Stegostoma tigrinum: one gene and its partner. The protein of the gene in region 2 interacts with the protein of the main gene of each other region in a pairwise test. Links are inferred from orthologs where the notes say so. Each region holds a gene or a part of one and is shown on either strand. Other genes may lie near its edges.

What was found.
Region 1: the proteins of poli (region 2) and rev1 interact in a two-hybrid assay, tested with the Homo sapiens proteins (2 studies listed by BioGRID). The link is inferred for Stegostoma tigrinum from reciprocal best matches to the Homo sapiens genes POLI and REV1.

The regions. Positions count from the first base shown.
Region 1 is NC_081359.1:59,637,112-59,649,460, forward strand, and holds the start of rev1 (DNA repair protein REV1), read right to left. Parts: upstream 5,011-12,349; 5' UTR 4,823-5,010; intron 1-4,822. UniProt on the Homo sapiens protein: Deoxycytidyl transferase involved in DNA repair. Transfers a dCMP residue from dCTP to the 3'-end of a DNA primer in a template-dependent reaction.
Region 2 is NC_081354.1:155,777,327-155,789,693, reverse strand, and holds the start of poli (DNA polymerase iota), read left to right. Parts: upstream 1-6,258; 5' UTR 6,259-6,343; coding exon 6,344-6,497; intron 6,498-12,367. UniProt on the Homo sapiens protein: Error-prone DNA polymerase specifically involved in DNA repair. Plays an important role in translesion synthesis, where the normal high-fidelity DNA polymerases cannot proceed and DNA synthesis stalls. Favors Hoogsteen base-pairing in the active site.

The DNA of each region.
Region 1 (12,349 bases), on a different chromosome or scaffold from region 2:
CAAAATCCTCTTCCTTTCTCCATCTGTCTTTGGTTCAGTTTCCAGTAACTTCTTCTAGCATGTCTATAAAGGCTCAGGAAATGTTTGAAATACTCAGCATGTAAGGAAGCATGTGAAAAGATATAAACAGAATTAATATTTCAGGTTGGTACCCATTAATATGATCATAAGAAGGCATCTGAGGGATATCATAAATTTTAAGTATGCCTACAGACTGGGAATGAAGAGAGCAGGAGAACAAAAGGGTGGTTTTGAGGTACAGTGAAAGACAGGAAAAGATTAAACAGCAAAATAAATAATGATGCTGTTTATCTTGTACCATTATCCTTTTTTTCCATTTAATCTCTCTCCTCTTTCTACCACAGATGTTCCTTCCACCAGACATGCTGGATTTCTCCAGCATTTTGTTTTTATTCAACATGTGCTTGCACGGTATTCACATTCGGCTATTTTTCCCCTTCCATTTCTCTGCCTCTGAACTTGCTTAGAAACTGTTGCAGTTCTAACTTCTGCAATTCTGATGAAAGGCTTTATAGAGTCATTCAGCAGGGACCTAGACCCCTTTGGGCCAACTCATCTATGCTGACCAAGTTTCCCAAACCAAACTAGTCCCATTTGCCTGTGTTTGGCCCATATCCCTCTAAACCTTTCCTATTCATGTACCTGTCCAAATGTCTTTTAAATGTTGTAACTAGACCTGTATCTACCACTTCCTCTGGCAGTTCATTCCACATATGAACGATCTTACGTGTGAAAATCTTGCCCTTCAGGTTCCTTTTAAATCTTTCTCCTCTCACCTTAAAAACGTGGCCCCTAGTTTTGAACCTTCCCATTCTCGGAAATGGCTGCTCTTCACCTTATCTAAGCCCCTCATGATTTTATAAACCTCTGTAAGATCACCCCTCAACCTCCAATGCTCCTGTCCCAGCCTCTGCAGCCTCTCCCTATAAGTCAAATCCTCCAGTCCCAGCAACATCCTTGTAGATCTTTCTGAACCCTTGTAAATTTAATAATATCTTTCTTATAGGTGACCAAAACTATACACGGCACTGAAAAAGTAGCCTCACCAATGTACTGTACAACCTCAATGTGACATCCCATCTCCTATAAACAATGGTCGGAGCAATGAAGGCAAGAATGTTAAAACACCTTATAATCACCCTGTCTACCTGGAACACAACTTTCAAAAGAACTATGTAACTGAACCCTAGGTCTCTGTGCGATAACACTATCCAGGCCCTACAATTGACTGTATAAGTGCTGCCCTTGTTCAGGCTACCAAAATGCAATACTTCGCATTTATCCAAATTAAAATCCAACTGCCCCTCCTCAGTCTTTTGGCCTAATTGATCAAGATCTGATTGTAATCTTAGATAACATTCTTTACCGTTGACTATACCAACAATTTAGGTGTGACCCGCAAACTTACTAACCATGCTTCCCAAATTCTAATCCAAATCATTTAGGTAATTGATAAGGAACAGTGGATGCACAACACCACTGGTCACAGGCCTCCAGTCTGGGAAATAACCTTCCACACCACCTGCCGAGTCCTACTGTCAAGGCAAGTTTGTATCCAATTAGCAAGCTTCCCTGAATCCCACGTGATCTAACTTTACTAATGTGCTTTGACCTAAAACACCACAGATGCCATCTGACGTGCTGAGTATTTCCAACACTTGTGATGTTTTAATTGGGCATCATGGTACAATGTCTCTTCCTTTCAAACTTCGCAAAGCATATGGATTGTTTGTTTTTAAAGCTGTTGTATAATTCAAAGTTTTGACCATTCTGATAGGCTTCTGGCTGGTCCCTCTGTAAACAAAGGTCATCCAAAACTCTGCTGCATGTGACTTAACTTAAAACAGTTCTCATTCCCCTATCAGCTTTGTGGTTGCTGAACTACATTTATAGAACTTTGTTTTCTAATTCCGCTATGGCTTCATCCTGCCATATCTCTGCCATCGGCTTCAGAGCCACAACTTGTGTGCACTTTGCTGATTCCGGCCTCTTGTGTATTTCTAATCAAAAACGTCCCACAACTGGTGGTCATGCTATCAGTTGCCTAGGCCCCAACTTCCGGAATCCCTCTCCTCGCTGCCTCACTTTCCTCCAATAAGATATTCCTCAAAAAACCTACCGTTTTGAGCAAGCTCTTGATCGACTGATCCAATATCTTCCTATGCGGCTCGGTATTATACTTTATTTTTGAAAACTCCTATCAAGCGCCTTGGGACATTTCACTGTGTTAATGATGGAGCAAAACATTTTACAGTAAGGAATAAAACAATCAACAACGTTCACACTAGTTCTCCGAAAGAACAATGCACCATATTTCAACTCCATCTTTCCCTGTATATGAAGACGATAACATGACAGCTTCAGAAAACATGCAGTTCAGTTCAGCTCAATACATACATACCAAACTAAGTCACTAGCGTAAACTTAATCTGCTGAAATGGGTTTGCAGACAGAAATAAGACAATTTCTTCCCCCAGTGTCTCAGACTCAAGTATTACGACAGGACCTAACATAAGAACCAAATGGACAGTACATCATCTTAAACTATCTTGTGCACAGCTACACAACAAAGGGGACCGTGATATGCTCTATGAATTGTCACCACTTCATTACCTGACAGAAATAGCAGACAATCAATGAATGTGACTGCACCTCAGATTACTCCAGTAGTAATTACGCATTTTGTTAGGTGCCTACATTTTATTTAATATACATTCACTTATCCGTAAAACAATAATTGAAAAATGAACACTGACCAACCAAACTCTTACTAGACCAATTCAATCCCAATGGGACAGCACAGGTTGCCTTAGATGAAAGGTGTCTAGACATGTATAATTTCACCTTAGAGACAAGAGAGAAATTAAGTGAATTCTGAAATAAGATACCAGTGCCAGACAAAGAAACATTCAAAGTAAAGGTAAACAGTTACAGCTCCATCCCTTGAGGAAAGAAAGTAGTGTTTATGTCATGATTATATTCAGAAGGAGAAAAACAGAAGAGAAAGAAGAATTGGAGACGTCTGAAGAATCGTTACTTTTCTCTTTTCCCCTGCCTAAGGCACCATGTGAATAACCATGTTTCAATTCTATGTTTGGCTTGCTTTCAAATGGCAGAGGTCCTGTGAAATTAGCATGACTGAAAGTGAGACTCTAAAATGGAGAGATTCAACATGGGAAAAAAAATGGAATTAGTACTTCTTTCAATATGGTAAACTAAGCATGAACCATAGCAACCTGCAAAAGGTTGTAAGAGCCATGCAGCATCTTGTATTTGCTTTGCCATTCAATAAGATTGAGGCTGATCTAACAGCGGCCATCACCACTTTGCTGCCATACAACTAAACAAGCTATCTATCTCATCTTTGATTACATTCATTGAATCCACCTTCACTTCCATCGGCAATAGAGATTTCTAAATATTCATGACATTCAGAGGAAAATCCTCTTCTTCTTAGTCTTATATCTGCAACCCCTCATTCAGGAAAAACATCCCCAAATCTAAATTTACTATGAGGTATCACACCTTTTTAGCATATTGCCGAAAGGCAGTATATGAGTACGTCTCCTTACAAACTTGATCAAGAAATCCCCAAAGGGCTCTTGATGGCAACATGATTAAGAATCAAAATAAAAACAAAGAACTGTGGATAGTGGAAACCTGAAACATAAACAGAAAAGACTGCAGAAAGTCAGCAGGTCTGGCAGCATCTATAAAGAGAAAAGCAGAGTTAATGTTTCAAACCCAATAACCTTTTGTTAGAATCATTTGGGATGTGGTGCTCCAAATCAAAATAGCATCTTAAAATGAATGGACCATTGCTCCCCAGGGAGAACCATCCCACACCACCAGAATACACAAGGAATTTCTCTGTTGGTGTTTCACTTCAATTGCTTGCACAATCTAAAAAGAGCACTACACTCCCACACAGGTCAGCCACACATACTGCAAAGCACATTTAACACAAACTTGGTTGCTGATTCTGGTTTTATAGCAATAGAGACATTTCCAGGTGCAAAATTAAATTCTTCACGCATATATTTAAGGAAAATCTAACAAATTATTCATAAGCCGTCGCCAAACAAGGTATGTCTCAACAGATGTTGACAAGGGTTTGGGGGGTGTGGCTAAGAGGGATAAGACACAGCATTTCCTCGAGGAACAGACATTTGTGGACAGATATAAACAGGAACAGAAGTTTACGAGAATAGGAAGAACAGAGCTAAAGTCTGACCAAAATCCCCATTTGTTCCTTACGTGGAAATGAAATCACGACACAATCCGTGCAACATTATTATTTTGCCGCGAATTATACTCAATTTTGGACAGGAGGCTGCTATGTGAAAATTGTTGAGAAAAATCATACAAATTAGGGGGAGAGCCTTCTAAAAGGTACGCGAGGGGGTGGCGGCGGGGAGGGATGTTATACGAGCCTCCTCCGAGATTGGGAGGGAAATCATCTGGATTATGGGGAAAACCCCCTCCTGTTGATTGGAAAGGGGAAGCCTCCTCCTGGATGATGGGGACGCCTCCTGCGGTCTCCCTTCCAGCCCCCGCCCCCGTCTGGAGATGATCCTCTGCTCCGGAGCAAAGGGCTCCCAGGGCACTAGGGTCTGTCCTCATGCAGGACTTTGGTTCTAAGCTCCGTCCTGACCCCTGGGGAAAGGCCGACATTGTTTGTAACTAAGGCTGGGTCTGCAGCTCTTTAGCACCGACACCCGGAGCCCCGGGAGGAGGGGGAACCGGGCCCCGCGCTCTCTCCGTGCCGGTGCCGCCAGTCACGTAACCGGGAACGACTCACCTCTCACGGCCTAATACTCATCCCGACCTCAGTTACCGTCCGTCTCCCGGCTTCTGTTACCACCGTTTGTCTATCGGGCTGCTGGCCTCTGCCCCTCACTCCGGTCTCCGACTCCGTGATCTCTCCATTCCCGCTCCACCCCGCCCCGTCCGCCCGCTCCGGCACCGCCTGCAACTACCCTGTCACAGCGACACCGAGGTCTGGAGGCTGGTACTACACCCATTCACAGCGACTCCGAGGGCTGGAGGCTGGTACTACATCTACACACAGCGACACCGAGGTCTGGAGGCTGGTTCTACACCCACTCACAGCGACACTGTGGGCTGGAGGCTGGTAGTACACCTACACACAGCGACACTGCGGGCTGGAGGCTGTTACCACACTTAGTCACTGCAACAGCGACACCGAGGAGTGGAGGCTAATACTACACTCACTCACAGCGACACCGAAGGCAGGAGGCTAGGGTACTACACTCAATTACAGCGACACTGGGGGCCGGAAACTGATACTACACATAGTTACAGCGACACCCGGGCCACGAGAGGCTGTAACAACAAAATTCCAAAGCGACACCTGGTGGGGAGATGGCTGTAAAAGGAGCGCAGTGGAAGCTTGAAGTACAGTCACAACGACAGTGTTGCTGTCCTCTTACCAGTCACAGTGACACCCGCAGTTGAAAATGTGTAACTACACTGTGTTATAATGACACCAAGCGGTAAGGACCTGTAACTACAGCCATTATCACCATGACACCGTGGTGCGCCACAGTGGCAGCTGATGGAATCGTACAGCTTACACCTGGCTCACACATTTATTCTGTTTCTGAAACGTGTCGGGAACCACAAAAGGAAACCTTCCACCATATCGGAGATAGCAAGAACAGCAGATGCTAGAGTCAGAGTCCACACAGTGTGGAGCTGGAGGAACACAGCCGGACAGGCAGCATGAGAGGAGGAGAGTCGACGTTTTGGGTCGAGACCCTCGGACCTTTTGTCAGGTGAGGAAGGAGCAGCGCTTTGAAAGTTTGTGATTTCACATAAACCCGTTGGAGTATAACCTGGTTTTGTGTGACTTCTGACTTACTGTTGGTGAAACAGCGAAAGGGTGAAGTTTTTAAATGGCTATTCTGAATAGGCAGAGAGCCCGATTGCTTCACCGCCGCCTGTAAAATTCCGGAAGGTTCAGAGATGGAAGGATACGCTCGGAAAGGTCACCTGCTGGCTTTCCTTCAACTGTGCCCACAGTGATTTTAACATGCTAGAACAAAAACTTTGTCATAAGATTGGGGAAGTGGGGATGTCATTAAACGGATAATCCAGAACCCCAGGCGAATGCTCGGAGAATATGGTTTGAACAAAAACCTGGAATTAAAAGATAGCCTAATGGGTTTGTCAAAGACATATTGTAATAATCTGCCCAATCTAGTTGAATTTTCTGAGTGACAAAAAATTGATGAAGGGCTTTCAATAGGTATTGTGTATATATACATAAAGCAATTGTTCAATAAAATTGAAGCCAGTTGAATAAGATGATCAGTGTTAAATTAGATGAAGATTAGCTTAAAGACAGGAAATAGCAAGTTGCGGTTAATAGTTGTTTTTCAGACGAGAAGATGGTAGATATGGTGTTTCCCAAGGTTGAGTTCTAGGAATACTTTTTATCTCTATACACTTGCTTTATCTTTCAGCTTTCCCCATGTTCTATGGAATTGCTGCAATGTTGGGTGACCACCCTCATTCCAATTAAGGGATAACAAGGTGTAGAGCTGGATGAACACGGCAGGCCAAGCAGCATCAGAGGAGCAGGAAAGCTGACGTTTCAGTCTGGACCCTTCAGAAATTCTGGAGGGGAAGGTGATTCTGAAATAAATAGAGAGAAGGGGGGAGGCAGATGAAAGTTGGATAAATGAACAGATAGGTGGAGAGGAGACGGACAGGTCAAGGACTTGGGCATGGAGCCAGTGTAGGTGAGGAGTTAGGGTGGGGGTTGGTCACTCCAGGGAAGATGGCAGGTCAAGGAGGCAGGGATGAGGCTGGTGGGTAGGAGGTGGGGGTGGGAGGAGTGGATAGGTCAGAGAAAGGAGGACAGATTAGGGAGGTGGGGATGAGCTGGGCTGGTTTTGGGATGCAGTCAGGGATGGGAGATTTTGAAGCTTGTGAAGTCCACATTGATATCATTGAGCTGCAGGGTTCCCAAGCGGAATATAGGGTGCTGTTCCTGCAGGTGTTAGTGAAGTGGATAAACTGTTCAAGCTCCTCATGAGAGCACATTTGACATCGCTGTGACACTGGAGGAGGCCCAGAATTCATATGTTGTCCAAGGAGTGGGAGGGAGTGTTGAAGTGGCTCTTGAGTGGGAGGTGCAATTGTTTGTCGTGAACCGAGCCTAGGTGTCCCACAAAGTGGTCTCCAAGCCTCCGCTTGGTTTCCCCGATGTAGGGGAGGCCACATTTGGAACAGCGGATATAGAATACCACATTAGCAGATGTGCAGGTAAACATCTGCTTAATGTAGGTTTTCTGGGGGCCTGGGATGGGGGTGAGGGGGGGAGGTCTAGGGGCAGGTGTAGTATTTCCTGTGGTTGCAGGGAAAAGTGCCGGGGGTGGTGGGGCTGGTGGGGAGTGTGGAGTGGACAAGGAAGTCATGGAGAAAGCAGTCCCTCCAGAAGGCAGATAAGGGTAGGGAGGGAAAAATGTCTTTGGTAGTGGTAGTGGAGTCAGATTGCAGGTAGCAGAAGTGCCAGAGAGTGATGTGTTGGATCCGGAGGTTGATGGTGTGATACGTGAGGACAAGGGGGATTCTGTGTTTGTTGTTATTGCGGGGAGTGGGTGTGAGGTATGAGTTGTGGGAAATGTGAGAGACACGACCGAGGGCTTTTTCAACCATTGTGGAAGGGAATTTGTGGTCCTTGAAAAATGAGGACATCTGGGATGTCTGGGAATGGAATACCTCATCTTGGGAGCAGATATGGCGGAGGTGAAGGAATTGGGAATAGGGGATGGCATTTTTGCAGGAAGGTCGGTGGGAAGAGGTAGCTGTGGGAGTCAGTAGGCTTGAAATGGATATCGGTTTCCAGGTGGTTGCCAGAGATGAAAATAGAGGTGTCCAGGAAGGAGAGAGAGGTATCGGAGATGGTCCAGGTGAACCTAAGGTTGGGGTGGAAGGTGTTAATGAAGTGGATGAACTGTTCAAGCTTCTTGTGGGAGCGTGAGGCGGTGCTGATGCAGTCGTTTTAACCTCATTTCAATTAACAACTTTTTAGATTTAGTGGGTGGTTTTACAGTTGAATGCCTTCCTGCTTCTAATCCTCCCCCTTTGTCCAGGGGACTGACATTGATATGTGTAGACCCGTCGACCTGCACTAGTGGTATCTTCTAAGGCTATTGTTGTGACCAAGGTTGGAAAATTACACTGAGATAATGGGAACTGCAGATGCTGCTGTATCCGAGATAACAAAGTGTGAAGCTGGATGAAGACAGCAGGCCAAGCAGCATCTTAGGAGCACAATAGCTGACATTTTGGGCCTAGACCCTTCATCAGTGGGTCTGTTTTAGGTTCAGTACATAAAGACCCATAAACCAGGTTTATTAAGTTAACAAAATTATTGATCATTATAACAACAAAACTATTTGATAAAGATGCACTAACAAGTTTGATATGTGGAAATAGTAAGAATTTACACTTTTAACTAACCCCAGTACACATGCACATGTACAAATTTGAGAAAACATTAACAAACTTTCTCTGCAGAAATTAATATTATAAAAACACTTTGGCCAAAATAGTTGTAAATTCTCATAGAATGAAAGTTTAAGATATGAAATATTCCAGATTGCTTTTAGTCAGGTAACCTTTAACATGTAAAATGGACCAATAGGCTGAGACAGTTTTCAACAGACATATGCAGTTGCTCCTCTAGGATATCTATAGAAACAGTTAATTCAGGGTGTCAATAAACAATAGGTGCAGGAGTAGGCCACTCGGCCCTTCGAGCCAGCACCACTATTCATTATGATCATGGCTGATCATCCACAATCAGTATCCTGTTCCTGCCTTATCCCCATAACCCTTGATTCCACTATCTTTAAGAGCTCTATCCATCTACTTCTTGAAAGTATCCAGAGAGCTGGCCTCTACTGCCTTCTGGGGCAGAGCATTCCATATATCCACCACTCTCTGGGTGAAGAAGCGGAAACATGCTTCCTGCCTCCAGAGTGTCCAATCCCTTAATAATCTTATACATCGCAATCAGATACCCTCTCATCCTTCTAAACTCAAGTGTATACAAGCCCAGTCGCTCCAATCTTTCAACACATGATAGTCCCGCCATTCTGGGAATTGACCTCATGAACCTACGCTGCATTCCCTCAATAGCAAGGATGTCCTTCCTCAAATTTGGAGAACAAAACTGCACACAATACTCCAAGTGCGGTCTCACCAGGGCCCTGTACAGCTGCAGAAGGACCATTTTGCTCCTATACTCAATTCCTCTTGTTATGAAGGCCAGCATGCCATTAGCTTTCTTCACTGCTTGCTGTACCTGCATGCTTGCTTTTATTGACTGATGTACAAGAACACCCAGATCTCGTTGTACTTCCCCTTTACCCAACTTGACTCCATTTAGATAGTAATCTGCCTTCCTGTTCTTGCCACCAAAGTGGATAACCACACATTTATCCACATTAAACTGCTTCTGCCATGCATCTGTCCACTCACCTAGTCTGTCCAAGTCACCCCGTATTCTCATAACATCCTCCTCACATTTCACACTGCCACCCAGCTTTGTGTCATCAGCAAATTTGCTAATATTACTTTTAATGCCTGCGTCTATATCATTAATGTATATTGTAAACAGCTGTGGTCCCAGCACCGAACCTTGTGGTACCCCACTGGTCACCGCGTGCCATTCCGAAAGGGACCTGTTTATCACTACTCTTTGCTCCCTATCAGCCAGCCAATTTTTAATCCAAATGAGTATTTTGCCCCCAATACCATGTGCTCTAATTTTGCTCACCAATCTCCAATGTGGGACTTTATTAAAGGCTTTCTGAAAGTCCAGGTACACTACATCCACTGGTTCTCCCTTGTCCATCTTCATGATACATACTCAAAAAATTCCAGAAGATTAGTCAAGCATGATTTCCCCTTTGTAAATCCATGCTGACTCTGACCTATCCTGTTACTGCTATCCAAATGAGTCGTAATTTCATCTTTTATAATTGACTCCAACATCTTTCCCACCACTGACATCAGACTAACCGGCCTATAATTTCCTGTTTTCTCTCTCCCTCCTTTCTTGAAAAGTGGGACAACATTAGCCACCCTCCAATCCGCAGGAACTGATCCTGAATCTATAGAACATTGGAAAATGATTACCAATGCGTCCACGATTTGTAGAGCCACCTCCTTAAGTACACTGGAATGCAGATCATCAGGTCCTGGGGACTTATCAGCCTTCGGACCTAACAGTCTATCCAACACCATTTCCTGCCTAATATAAATACCCTTCAGTTCATCCATTACCCTAGGTTTTTCAGCCACTATTACATCTGGGAGATTGCTTGTGTCTTCCCTAGTGAAGATAGATCCAAAGTACCTACTCAACTCTTCTGCCATTTCCTTGTTCCCCATAACAAATTCACCCGTTTCTGACTTCAAGGGCCCAATTTTAGTCTTAACCATTTTTTTTCATTTCACATACCTAAAAAAGCTTTTACTATCTTCCTTTATATTTTTGGCCAGTTTTCCTTCATAGCTCATTTTTTCTCTGTGAATTGCCTTTTTAGTTATCCGCTGTTGCTCCTTAAAAGCTTCCCAGACCTCCGGCTTCCCACTCATCTTTGCTATGTTATACTTCTCTTTTATCTTTATACAGTCCTTAACTTCCCTCATCAGCCACAGCCGCCCCTGCCTCCCCTTAGGATCTTTCTTCCTCTTTGGAATGAACTGATCCTGCACCTTCTGCGTTATATCCAGAAATACCTGCCATTGTTGTTCCACTGCCATCCCTGATAGGGTATTGTCCCACTGAACTTTGGCCAGCTCCTCCCTCATAGCTCCATAGTTCCCTTTATTCAACTGCAATACTGACACTTCCGATTCTCCCTTCTCCCTTTCAAACTGCAGATTAAAACTTATCATATTATGGTCACTACCTCCTAATGGCTCCTTTACTTTGAGGTCCCTGATAAAATCCGGTTCGTTGCACAACACCAGATCCATAATTGCCTCCTCCCTGGTAGGCTCCAGTACAAGCTGTTCTAAGAATCTGTCTCGGAGGCACTCCACAAACTCCCTTTCTTGGGGTCCAGTACCACCTGATTCTCCCAGTCTACCCGCATGTTGAAATCTCCCATAACAACTGTAGTGATACCTTTGTGACAGGCCAATTTCAACTTGCACCCTACATCCTGACTACTGTTTGGGGGCCTGTAGATAACTCCCATTAGAGTCTTTCTACCCTTAGAATTTCTCAGCTCTATCCATACTGACTCTACGTCTCCTGATTCTATGCCCCCCCCCCCCTCGCAAGGGACTGAATATCATTCCTCACCAACTGGGCCACCCCACCGCCTCTGCCCATCAGTCTGTCCTTTCGATAGCACGTATAGCCTTGAATATTCATTTCCCAGGCCCTATCCACTTGGAGCCATGTCTCAGTTATCCTCACAACATCATACTTGCCAATTTCCAAATGAGTCTCAAGGTCATCCACCTTATTTCTTATGCTCTGTGCATTCATATATAATATTTTTAATTTGTTACTCCCCTCACCCTTCCTATCAATCCCTATTTCACTTGGCCACACTGTACGATCCCTTCTTGAGTTTTCTGCTCCGTTGATTCTGTTGTCTTTCTTAACTTCTCTTATTCTCACTTTCCCTTTAACTTCATTCTTAAATTTCCAGTTTGCCCCCCCCCCCCCCCCACTACTTAGTTTTAACACACCTGCATTGCAGTGGCAAACCTGCCTGCCAGAATGCTGGTCTCCCACCTATTAAGATGCAAACCGTCCCTCTTATACAATTTATCCTTACCCCAAAACATACCCCACTGATCCAAGAATTTAAATCCTTGCTTCTGGCACCTGTTCATCAGCCACACGTTCAAGTCCAATATCTCCCTGTTCCTGCCCCCTCCAGCCCGAGGAACTGGAAGCAAACTGGAGATAACCACCCTAGAAGTCCTGCTTTTCAGCCGCCTTCTGAGTTCTCTGAAGTCCCACTGTAGAATGCCCCTCTTTTTCGTCCCAACATCATTCGTGTCGACATGCACCACCACCTCTGGCTCGCCACCTTCGCCCTTGAGGATTCCCTGCATTCTGTCAGTGACGTCCTGGATCCTGGCGCCAGGAAAGCAACACGCCATCCTCAAATCCTACCTGTTGCCGCAGAAACCCCTTTCAGTCCCTCTCACTGTGGAGTCCCCTATTACCACGGCTCTGCATAATGTCTGACTCCTCGACTCTGCCTCTACGCCAGTGTTTGACTCGCAGACCTGTCCACCTCTCGGACTGGCAGTGTTGTCT
Region 2 (12,367 bases):
ACTTTGTGTGAAAAAGTTGCCCCTTAGCTCCCTTTTAAATCTTTTCCCTCTCACCTTAAACCTATGCCCTTTAGTTTTGAACTCACCCACCCTTGGGAAAAGACTTTGTCTATTTATCCTATCCATGCCCCTCATGATTTTATAAACTTCTATAGAGTCACCTCTCAGCCTCCAACACTCCAGGGAAAATAGCCCTGGCTTATTCAGCCTCTCCCGATAGCTCAAGCCCTCCTACCCTGGCAACAACCTTATAAATCTTTTCTGAGCCCTTTTAAGTTTCACAACATCTTTCCTACAGCAGGGAGACCAGAACTGTACAAAGTATTCCAACAGTGGCATAACCAATGTCCTGCACAGTTGCAACATGACCTTCCAACTCCTATACAATATACTGACCAATAAAGACTTGCAGACTAAATGCCTTCTTTACTATCCCATCTCTGATTCCACATTCGATGAACTATGAACCTGCACTCCCAGCTCTCTTTGTTTAGCAACAGTCCCAGGACCTCATCATTAACTGTACAAGTCCTGCCCTGATTTGCCTTTCCAAAATGCAGCACCTCACATTTATCTAAATTAAACTCCATCTGCCACTCTTCATCCCGTTTGCCCAGATGATCAAGATCCCATTGTAGTCTGAGGTAAACTTCTTTGCTGTCCACTACACCTCCAATTTCAGTGTCGTCTGCAAACGTACCTCTCGTGTTCACATCCAGCTCATTTATATCAATGACAAACCGCAGTGGATCCAGCACTGATCCTTGTGGTATACCACTGGTCACAGCCCTCCAGTCTGAAAAGCAACCTTCACCACTACTCTCCGTCTCCTACCTTTGAGCCAGTTCTGTAATGAAATGGCTAGTTCTTCCTGTATTGCAAGTGATCTAATCTTGTTAACCAATCTATCATAAGGAACCTTGTTGAACATCTTATTGAAATCCATTATAGATCACATCCTTTACTCTGCCCTCATCAATCCTCTGTTACTCCTTCAAATCATTAGTGAGACATGATTTCCCAGGCACAAGGCTATGTTGACTATCTATAATCAGTTCTTGCCTTTCCAAATACATGTAAATCCTGTCCTTGAGGATTACCTCCAACAATTTGCCCACCACCAATGTCAGGCTTACCAGTCCATTGCTCCCTAGCTTTTCCTCACCACCTTTCTTAAATGGTGGTACCACCTTAGCCAACCTCTAGTCTTTCAGCATCTCACCTGTGGCTATCGATGATACAAATGTCTCAGCCCAGCAATCACTTCTCTAACACCCCACAGAGTTATACGTTACACCTAATCAGGTCCTGGGGATTCAGCCACCTTCATGTGTTTTAAGATATCCAGCACTTCCTCCTCTATAATATGGACACTTATCAAGACATTCAGATTTTTTTTCCCACGTTCTATACCTTACATTTCCTTCTCCACAGTAAACACTGATCATAGAGCTATACAGCATCGAAACAGACCCTTCGGTCCAATTCATCGAAACCGACCAGATATCCTAAATTGATCTAGTCATGTTTGTCAGCATTTGGCCTATATCCCTCTAAATCCTTCCTATTCATTTGCCCAACCAGATACCTTTTAAATGTTGTAATTATACCAGCCTCCATCACTTCCTCCCTCTGCATGAAAAAGTTGCCCCTTAGGTCCCTTTTAAATCTTTCCTGTCCTATCCTAAACCTATGCCCTCTAGTTTCAAACCCCCCCACCTCGGGGAAAAGACCTTGGCTACTCACCTTCTCCATGCCCCTTGTAGAGGTTTTATAAACCTCTACAAGGTCACCTCTTGGCCTCTGACGCTGTAGGGAATAATAGCCCCAGTCTATTCATCCTCTCCCTATAGTTCAAACCCTTCGAACCTGGTAATATCCTTGTAAATCTTTAAATGTTGTTAATTTAAAATCTGAAATAGATGCATTTTTGTTAAGTAAAGGTACTGAGGGATATGAGCCAAGGGCTGTTATATGGAACCCAAAACAGAAATTGCCAGAAAAACTCAGCGGCGAAATCAGAGTTAACACTTCAGGTGGAGAAAGCCTTTCTCAAAACTGACGAGCGCAGATATATGGGAAAACTGTGGATCAGCCACCGCCTCTCATGGTCAGTGAAACGAGTTGTGCAGAAGGATTTTAATTTACATTCATTTAATTTTAATTTAATTTGATTTGATTTCATGGAAAGATGGAAGAGGCTGGAGAGGCTGAATGGCCTGACTCCTGTTCCTGAGTATGGAGGCCAGGCCCCCAGAGACAGGGCCTACCCTCCCTGACGACCTCTTCAACTAGCCCCCACCTGAGGACCTTGCCCTCTTCCCTTCCCAATTGTGCCCCCACCGTCACACCTTTGACCCCGCCCTTTTCCCTCAGTGACGCCTCTGGCCACGCCCATTCTGATTCCCCCTCCCCCTCTCGGCCCCACCGGCATCGTAGTGGCTGCCGCAGGGTCCTCTTTTCACCCCTCCCTTCAGGAGAACACAATCCTCCCACCCCGGAGCGGGATAAGATAAATGCTCCTCACAACCATTCCTGAACCCTCCGCCAAACCGCTCCAGAAATAGAGCGAGCGACAACCGGTGGATCCCTGCCGCAGAACATTTGTGAAACTGCAAATTAGTGCTTATTCTTTATCACGAGCTTCCGAAGAGACTTGAAAAGGTTTTTTGAACTGTGAATTAAAATGCTTCCGCGGAACCCGTTTCACGGGCTGGTGGCCGACCACAAGTTTCCCCAGATTTAATCAGTACACCTTTTCACATAGTGGGGACGTGAATCTTTGACATAATTCACATCCTGTTGATGGACAATTGTCTTCCCATTGTTTCCACACCGCCCTTTCTACTTGAAAAGACGATGTGCAGCGGTTATTTAAGTCCCAAGACAAAGGAAGAAAAGTCCTCAAATTCAGTGAAAGCCTTTTTTAAAAAATTGCTTTCACATCTAATGATTTTGAATGATTGGCTCTTAAGGTGATTGATTCCTTATTCATTCGACAGTTTGCAACCACGAGCCATCACCAATAAAATGTCAAGTCCATTCCCCTCACTCATTGCCGCGACACCACATTCTGTGCAATTTTAGAATTGGGGAAAACGTTGTTAAGGGCAGTAAGACTGTTAGAAGTGTAATCAATTTGTCATCTGACCTCAACATAATCTGAACTGTCCTAAACCGTTTTTTTTAAAGCAGCCTGATCTGAAACGTTTTGGACAAACTGACCCGTTTCATTCCCGGAAAATCGTCAGTAGAACAAGTTATCCTCTCCCCATTCTCGGGAGGGACGTAGTAGTTCCAGTCACTTTCAACGAGGAGCAGAAGAACAGAAAATGTTGGAAAAACACAGCTGTCTGGGAGCATCTATGGAAAGAGAAACAGACTTAACATTTTGAGTCCAATATGACTCTTCTTCAGACTAAAGAACAGTTGATCGTTCCTAACTATCCTTAAGAGTATGGTGATGAGTTGCCTTCTTTAATTGCTGTAGTTAAAATGACGTGGTGAGGTGCAAGTATATTCACAGTGCATGTTTGCACATTCAAGAAGTCTGTCACCACACAGCATCCAAGTCAGATTTGAACAAAATATCAGAGGTTGGGCATTGCCTATATAAACACAGTCCTTTATACATAGAGCTTTCCAAAGAAAAGGTGAGTCACCTTGATAAAAGAATGATGAGAATGTGATTATAGAACATAGAACATGAGAGCACCGTACAGGTCGGCCCTCGATGTTGCACCAACCTGTGAAACCAATCTGAAGCCCATCTAACCTATACTATTCCATTATCATCCATATGTTTATCCAATAACCATTTAAATGCCATTATACCATTAAAGTTGGCAAGTCTACTACTGTTGCAGGCAGACCATTCCTTACTACTCTCTGAGTAAAGAACCTACCTCTGACTTCTGTCCTATATCTATCACCCCTCAATTTAAAGCTATGTCCCCTTGTGCGAGCCATCACCATCCGAGGAAAAAGGTTCTCACTGTCCACCCTATCTAATCCTCTGATCATCTTATTTGTCTCTATTAAGTCACCCTCTTAACCTTCTACTCTCAAGTCCCTCAGCCTTTCTTCATATGATCTTCCCTCTATACCAGGCAACATCCTGGTAAATCTCCTCTGCACCCTCTCCAATGTTTCCACATCCTTCCTATAATGCGGTGACCAGAACAGTACGTAATACTCCAAGTGTGGCCGCATCGGAGTTTTGTACAGCTGCAACATGATCTCATGGCTCCGAAACTCAATCCCTCTATCAATAAAACCTAACACACTGTATGCCTTTTTAACAACCCTATCAACCTGGGTGGCAACCTGATTAGCACAGTCAGTTCCATAGAATGGCAAGAAATGAAATTTCCAGATTTGCTGTCAGTCCTAACCTGAAAGACATCAATCAGAAAGATGTCAAGTGGAGCCTGCAACATTTCCCAATAATGAAATGTAATTTATTAAAGATACTACCTCTCTGGCTTGTCTCACAATTTTGTATAAGAATCATTGGCAAGAGCAAGTATACCAAAATAGGTAACGAAATAAAATGGAATAGAAACCTAATTGAAACATTCCCTCAATAATTAAAATTTCAACTTTATTTTTTTAAGAACAGATATGATGCAATGTGTTTCAATAAAAAGAGCGGGAAAACTAAAATGGTGAAATAGACAGCACCTTCCAAACATGCACTTAGCTGAAAGCATGTCTGCATATAGCTAAGGAATTTTTGTCGAAAGGCCCGAAATGTTAACTCTGGTTCTCACTTCACAGATGCCAACTGACCCAAAGTGTATTTCGAGCATTTTCTGCTTTAGGTTACTAAGGAAGATCAAGGGTTGACAGGAGGTTTGACAGGGATACAAATTCAATGTGCAAGTCGTAACGCAGCGATAAATTTAAAATAACAATATAATACAAACATCCCGTGGTATCGTGAATTAAAGCACTGTTTAAAGACTGAACTGCAGAAAATAATTGCTGCTGTGGAAATAATTCTGCTTCAATGTCTGTTACTGCTGCACTTTACCACAGGGTTATCGCGTCTGTTCCGAGAACTGGATTATTTCCAGGAAACACCTCAATGTCACAGCTCAACCTCTTAGTCAAAGAGGTTAAGAAGTAAGCTGAAAAAGAAGCTCCACAGAAAGACTTTTACCTGTCCACTTATTAATATTTTAACCCATATTACCATTACAGCTATCTTCATTTAATGATGTCTATTGTGATCACAGTGTATCAAACGTAGTACCTCATTTGCCAGACGTAGAACACACTGGCAGCTACCACAGGCAGACGGTTAATTATAGTGTCTGTTATAAGTTCTGAAGAAGTCATAGTGGTCTCAAACATTGTATCAGAGATAATGGGAACTGCAGATGCTGGAGAATCCGAGATAACAAAGTATGGAGCTGGATGAACACAGCAGGCCAAGCAGCATCTCAGGAGCACAAAAGCTGACGTTTCGGGTAACTCTGTTTCTGTTTCCACAGATGCTGCCAGTCCTGAGTTTCTTCAGTATTCTCTCTGACAATAGAGATTGTAGGTCTGGGTTTGTGCCTTGGGAGTTAAAGATTTATAGAGAGAGAGCAGTGTTTTTACTTTTAAAAACCCTAAAATGTTTGGTATGTCTACAAACCCCTGAAACATTGACCTGGTGGTTTTGTGGTGAACCCTGACTTGCCAGGAATTGCTCCTTGATCTTGTTTCAGTTCTGCGTCATACCCATGGAAAGGCAAACCAGCAGACTGGCCATGTATCAATGCAAAGTGAAAGCCATGATGTGTCACGAAATGAGTTATTCTGGTGAACACAAATATTTTGGTTGCCAAAAAAGTTGAAGAATTTAAAATCTGTCCACTCTCCATTTTCAAATGTAGCTGCAGCCACTCAGGCCACAGTTTAAATGCTGCACAGAAACGTGTCCGCAGTTGGAAGCTGGAAATCTGAAATATATAAGAATAAATTCTGTAGAAGCTCAGCAGAATTAGAAGCATTTGCGGACAGCAGAACAGAGTGAGCGTTTCGAGCCCAGTGCGACCCCTGTTCGGAACCTACTGAGTTTGTCCAGATATTTTCAGTTGCTGTTCCTATTAAAATTCTCTCTCGATGACTAATCTAATTCCAATAACACTTCACTGAGTTTGAAGTAATGCATTTTCCGATAAAGTCTTCCTGCTTGTATCCATGCCAACATTATACTTTACTGTAAAGTGCGTCAAAGATTGCAGAGGTTTGGTGGCGGGGGGGGGGCATATTTTGGTTGTCCACCTCGTGGTTTGCCCGTTGATTTGTTTTGGAGTCGGTTTCCTGCGATGTCTCAGGAGTTTCATTAATTATGGAGTTCAGTGAATACGAGACAGCAGATGCCCCTCGCTACAGTTTGCAAGAGGAGGAGGAGGAAGAGGATGAACGAGAATGGTGTTGTACAGTTGACGACATTGACAGTAGCCCTGGGTCTCCTGCCTCTGCAGCAAGCGGCGAATTGACAGGTACGGGTGAAACTGAAAGCCAACATCCGTCTGACTGCCAAATTGAAGACTCATAATATAAGCCTATTTGAGTTATCATCTTTAGCCAATTGCAAACCATATAATGGCAGTTTTCAGGGCGGGTTAATGGCTTGAGTTCAGAAATTATATTGCTGATGATGAGATGGGCTGGAGGAAATACTTGTTGAAAACGATACTACCGGGTGGCCCAGAATCGACAACACACAACATACATCTGGAAAATGAATGGGCATCTGTCTTTGATTCATAAAAAGAAATTTTGATGTCTGATTTTGATCTGGTCCGAAATCGATCAAACAGCTCTTGCCATTGTTGTCCGGAAGAAAAGGAGTGATTTATTAACAAGTTGTGCATGGATGAAAGGACATTCCATCTAAGGAGCCAAAAAAAACCCTTTCAGATCAGACAGAGGTCCACCTGCACATCCTCCAATGTGGTCTACTGCATCCACTGCTCCCAATGTGGCCTCCGCTACATTGGTGTGACCAAGCTGAGGCTGGGAGACTGCTTTGTAGAGCACCTGCGCTCTGTTCTCGATAAATGGCAACAACCTTCTGGTTGCAGACCGTTTCAACTCCCCCCCCCCCGTGCGACACGTCCATCCTGGGCCTCCTCCAGTGTCACATTGACGCCACCCGGAAACTGGAGGAGCAGCACATCATATTCAGTCTTGGGAGCCTACAACCCAATGGTCTCAATGTGGACTTTACCTGTTTCAAAATCTACCCATCCTCGGCCTCATCCCATGATCAACCCTCCCTCTCATCCCCGCCTCCTTGACCTGACACAACCTGTCCATCTTCTTCCCCTCCTATCCGCCCCACCCACTTCACTGACCAATCCCCACCACTGCCGACCTGCACTCACCAATCACCATCCCACCTATCTCCCCCAGTCCTAGCCCTCCTTTCTATTTATTTCAGAGACCCCTCCCCCCTCTCATTTCTGTAGAAGGGTTCCAACCCCAAACGTCAAGTTTCCTGCTCCTCTGATTCTGCCTGGCCTGCTGCGTTCCTCCAACTCCAGCATCGGCAGTCCTTACTGTCTCTCAGGAATTGCTTCTCCCTGTTTTATAAGATGAAAAAGATTCATTTTCAGTTTATATGTGTGACCCCGCAATAAGGGATGTCATCAGGCAATTTGACCAAATGCAGTGTGTGACGAGTCTGACCTCTCCCTAGGGGGATACCTGCATGATCATACTTTATAGCAGGAGGTCACTAGGCAGTCATCAAGGATGTAGTACATGCCTGGATTGTGTGAGGGGTAAGAGATCATCTGTTATTCCTGGAGGAGATGGTTGTGTAATGGCATGTTGTTGGTTCCAGGAACCCACAGGCCCAGGTTAATTCTCTGGGAACAAGGGTTTAATCCTGTCTAATTAAGACCTACAGTGTAAATAGACAAGTATAGCTGGGGAGGTGATGGCCTAGTGGTATTATTGCTGGACTGTTAATCCAGAGACCCAGATAATGTTCTGTGGGCCCGGGTTCAAATCCCACCTTGGCAGACGGTTGAATTTGAATTCAATACACATCTGGAATTAAGAGTCTAATGATGACCATGAATCCATTGTCAATTGCCAGAAAAACCCACGTGGTTCACTAATGTTCTTTAGGGAAGGAAACTGCTGTCCTTACCTGGTCTGGTTTACATGTGACTCCAGACCCACAGCAATGTGGTTGACTCTTAACTGCCCTCTGGGCAATTAGGGATGGGCAATAAATACTGCCTAGCAGGAGACACCCTCATTCCATGCATGAATAAAGGATAAACAAAAGCCGATCAGTAATGGTGACCATGGCCTGTATATGACTCCAGGCCCACAACAATGTGGTTGACACTTAAGTGGCCCAGTAAACCACTCAGTTGAAGGGAGTTTAGGCCTGGGTTAAAAATGGTGCCCTGTAAATAAACAGACTGACTACTCAGCACTTTCACAGGTTCAGTAATGTGCTAATTATCAACTAAACCATCAAAGATGCCTTCCCTCTCTTTTTTAAAATCTGTGGAACAACTGACTTCTTTAAGGAGTACCATAGTTGCAGGCAAAACTATTTTTGAATTTTATTGTTGCAAAGTGCAAATGAAGGCTCATATCCCACAGGATACAGTTATGATAAGAAGAACTGACAAGCTAATTCAGGAAACTGTGGCTATTATGGTTGTGTGCTCTGTCACAATTCAAATTGAAAAATTGTTTTGATAATTTTTAGATCCATCTCTGGCAAGTGAGTAGTGAGCTTAATTTTGGGTTACAGTGGGATTAGTGTCTTCAGGTTGAAATGCAATATTTCGTAAATTTGGCTGTAAAATTTGATTGTGTGAATGCTGGATTTTCCAGATTACCATTGCAGCAATGGTGTTTGCTGATGTGTTAACACGTTTTAATTGCAAAGTGTTAATCTTACCAGCAGCACTTACTGATAGCTATCTATGTAGTTAGTAGTCTGTTGATTCCAGCAGACTGTTAATTCGTCTGGCAGGAGCTAACTTTGAGAGAGACTGAATTGTATTTCTTTCAACCTCCCATCAGATATGAAAAATGTTTTTGTTTCTTTTGTATGAGTTCGACTTTACATACAAACTGCACTAGCGAAATAAAGGATGGAAATTAGGAAAGCAGAGAGAGAATATAAAAAAAGAGGGCAGGTAAAATCAGGGAAAGTTCAAAGATATTTTATCTGTACGTTAAGAGCAAGTGGATAACTAAAGAAAATTGGAAAATTTTATCTTTTTCTCTTCCAATTTCCACCCTGTTCTCACCTTCACCTGATCTATCTCTGACTCTTCCCTTCCGTTCCTCGACATTTCCGTTTCCATTTCTGACGTTAAGCTGGCCACCAATGCCCCAGTACAAATCCAACGACTCCCAAAATTTCCTGTACTATACATCCTCCTACCCTGCTTCCGGTATTCCCTGTTCCAAGTTCCTCCATCTCTGTCACATCTGTTCCAATGATGTCAACTTCGACAAGGCGGCCTCCAAAATGTCCAACATCTTCCTAAACCGAGAATTTCCCATCATCGTGGTTGATAGCACCCTCAGCTGGGTCCAACCCATCTCTCGCACTTCACCCCTCAGCTCCCTCTCTTCCCACCCAGTCCAGTGGGAGGGTCACCCTTGGCTTCACCTACCATCAACCAGCATCCATTTCCAAAGGATCGTTAACCACCATTTCTACCACCTCCAGCGGGATGCCACCACTAGACAGCTATATATCCCTCCTCTCCCTAGTAAGCTGCAGGGACCTTTCCCTCCTCAATACCTTGGTCCATTTCTCCTCCATTCTGAACATCTCCCTTCTTTCCCATGGCACCATGTAATCGATGGTGCTGTCCCCTGCAATCACAGAAAACACTGGCCTGTTTACTTCCTCCCTCCTCACTTTCCAAGGCCCTAAACACGCCTTCCAGGTGAAATGTCGTCAACTGTATTCGCTGTGATCGACACTGGGGGGAACAAGCCTAATTTCTGACCACAAAATACAACCCTGAGTTTCTGGTTGCCTGTCAGTTCAACACACTATTGTGTTCCCTGGCCAATATCTCTGTCTCAGCCTTGCTGCAGTGCTCCAGTGTCTCATTTTCTGCTTGGGGACCCTGCAGCCTTTTAGGCTCGATATTGATTCCAACACTTTTAGGGCTTGAACACTTTTCCCCATTTCCGTACCCTTGTCATCACATGGACTGCTATCATGAACAACCCATTGTCAGTCACCAACAGTCCCCATTAGTGGCTATTCATTCTCCCAGACTGACATTTACCCACTCCTTTCTCTACCCAACTCTTCTCTCTCTCTCTCTCTCTCTCTCTCTCTCTCTGGGCTCCACCTCTACTCATCATTTACTGTCCCCTCCACCCCCACCCCGTGTTCAGCATATATACCAACCTTTTCCTCACTACAATTTTTGGACTGGAAAGTTTAGCTCTGCTTTCTTTCCACAGATGCTGCTAGATCTGCTGAGTTTTTTTCTGGCAATTTCTGTTTTTATTTGTAATGAAAGGAGGGACTGACGCTATGGGTTGAGATGTGCACTGTAATTTTTGCATGGATGCAAAAGATAAAGGCAGGGTTCTAAATGAGTATGTTGTTTCTATATTCGTAATGCAGACATTCTAGTTAAAGAGGAGGAGTGTAAAATCTTAGACACAATATGCGTAATACGAAAGGAAGTACTGGAGAGCATGACATCCTTAAAGTTGGTTAAATCACCAAGAAAGCAGAAAGGAAATAACAGATGCACTGCAGATCATTTTCCAGATAAAAATGAGACGCCTGAAGATTTAAAGTTTGCAAATGTTGGACCATTGTTTTTAAAAAAGGTGTCGGGTTAAGGCAAATGATATTGTCAGTCTGTCTGATTTTGGTGATAGGCAAATTATTAGAATCAATCCTGAGAGATGGACTGTCACTGAGAAAAGCACTGATTTATTAGGGATTGTCAGCATGGCTTGTTTAGGGGAAGATCATGCCTTTTTAACGTAATTGAATTTTTTGAGGAAGTAACAAGAGAGAAATAGTTGAGACATAGGTTATAGGAGCAGAAGGGTAATGTTGAAGGTGTACAGGACTTTGGTGAGGCCACAAGTGGGGCACTGTGTGTAGTTCTGCACACTGCACTCTAGGATTGGCATGATTGGTGTAGAGGGGATTCAGAGGCAATCCACCGGGATGCTGCCTGGGATAGAGCATCTTAGCTGTGAAGACAGGCTGATTAAGCTTGGATTGTTTTCTTTAGAACAGAGAAGTTTGACAGCCAGCCTGATAGAGGTGTACAAGGAGCATGGACAAAGTAGCTGTTTTCCCTTAGTTGAAGGGTCAATAACAAGGGGGCACATTGTTAAGTTGAAAGGCAGAAGGTTTAGGAAGGACTTAAGGAAAAGTATTTTTGAACTGGAGAGTGGTAGTGGTCTTAATGCACTTCCTCAGAGAGTAGCAGAGGTATTTAAAACAAACTTTTAAAAACTACTTGGATGAGTGCTTGAAGTGTCATAGCACTTCATAGCTATGGGCCTGGTGCTGAACAGTGAGGCTGCTGTAGATTCAGTGTACTTTTGACATTACAGACTGGATGGGCCAAAGAGCCTCTCCTTTGCTAAACAAGAAACCAAAGAACAGTGGATGCTGGAAATCAGAAGCAAAATCAGAACTTGCTGGAAAAACTCAGCAAGTCTTGCAGCATCTGCGGCATTAAGCAGAGTTGATGTTTCGGGTCCAGTGACTCTTCTGAACTGATTTTAGGGAGGTCAAGGGTTGGTATATACGCTGAAGAAGGGTGACCAGACCCAAAACATTAACTCTGTTTCTCTCCACAGATGCTGCCAGAACTGAGATAACAAGGTGTAGAGCTGGATGAACTCAGCAGGCCAAGCAGCATCAGAGGAGCAGGATGGCCGATGTTTTGGGCCTAGACCTTTCTTCAGAAATGGAGGAAGGGAAGGGGATTCTGAAATAAACAGAAGGAGAGGGGAAGGCAGATAGAAGATGGATAGAGGAGAAGATAGGTGGAGAGGAGACAGACAGGTCAAAGAGGCTGGGATAGAGCCAGTAAAGGTGAGTGTAGGTGGGGAGGTAGGGAGGGGGTAGGTCAGTCCAGGAAGGACGGACAGTCAAGGGGGTGGGATGAAGTTAGTGGGTAGGAGATGGGGATGGGTAGGAGGTAGGACAGTTAGGGAGGCGGGAACAAGCTGGGCTGGGTTTTGGGATGTGGTAGGGGGAGGGGAGATTTTGAAGTTTGTGAAGTCCACATTGATACCATTGGGCTGCAGGATTTCCAAGCAGAATATGAGTTGTGGTTCCTGCAACCTTCGGGTAGCATTGTTGTGGCACTGTAGGAGGTCCAGG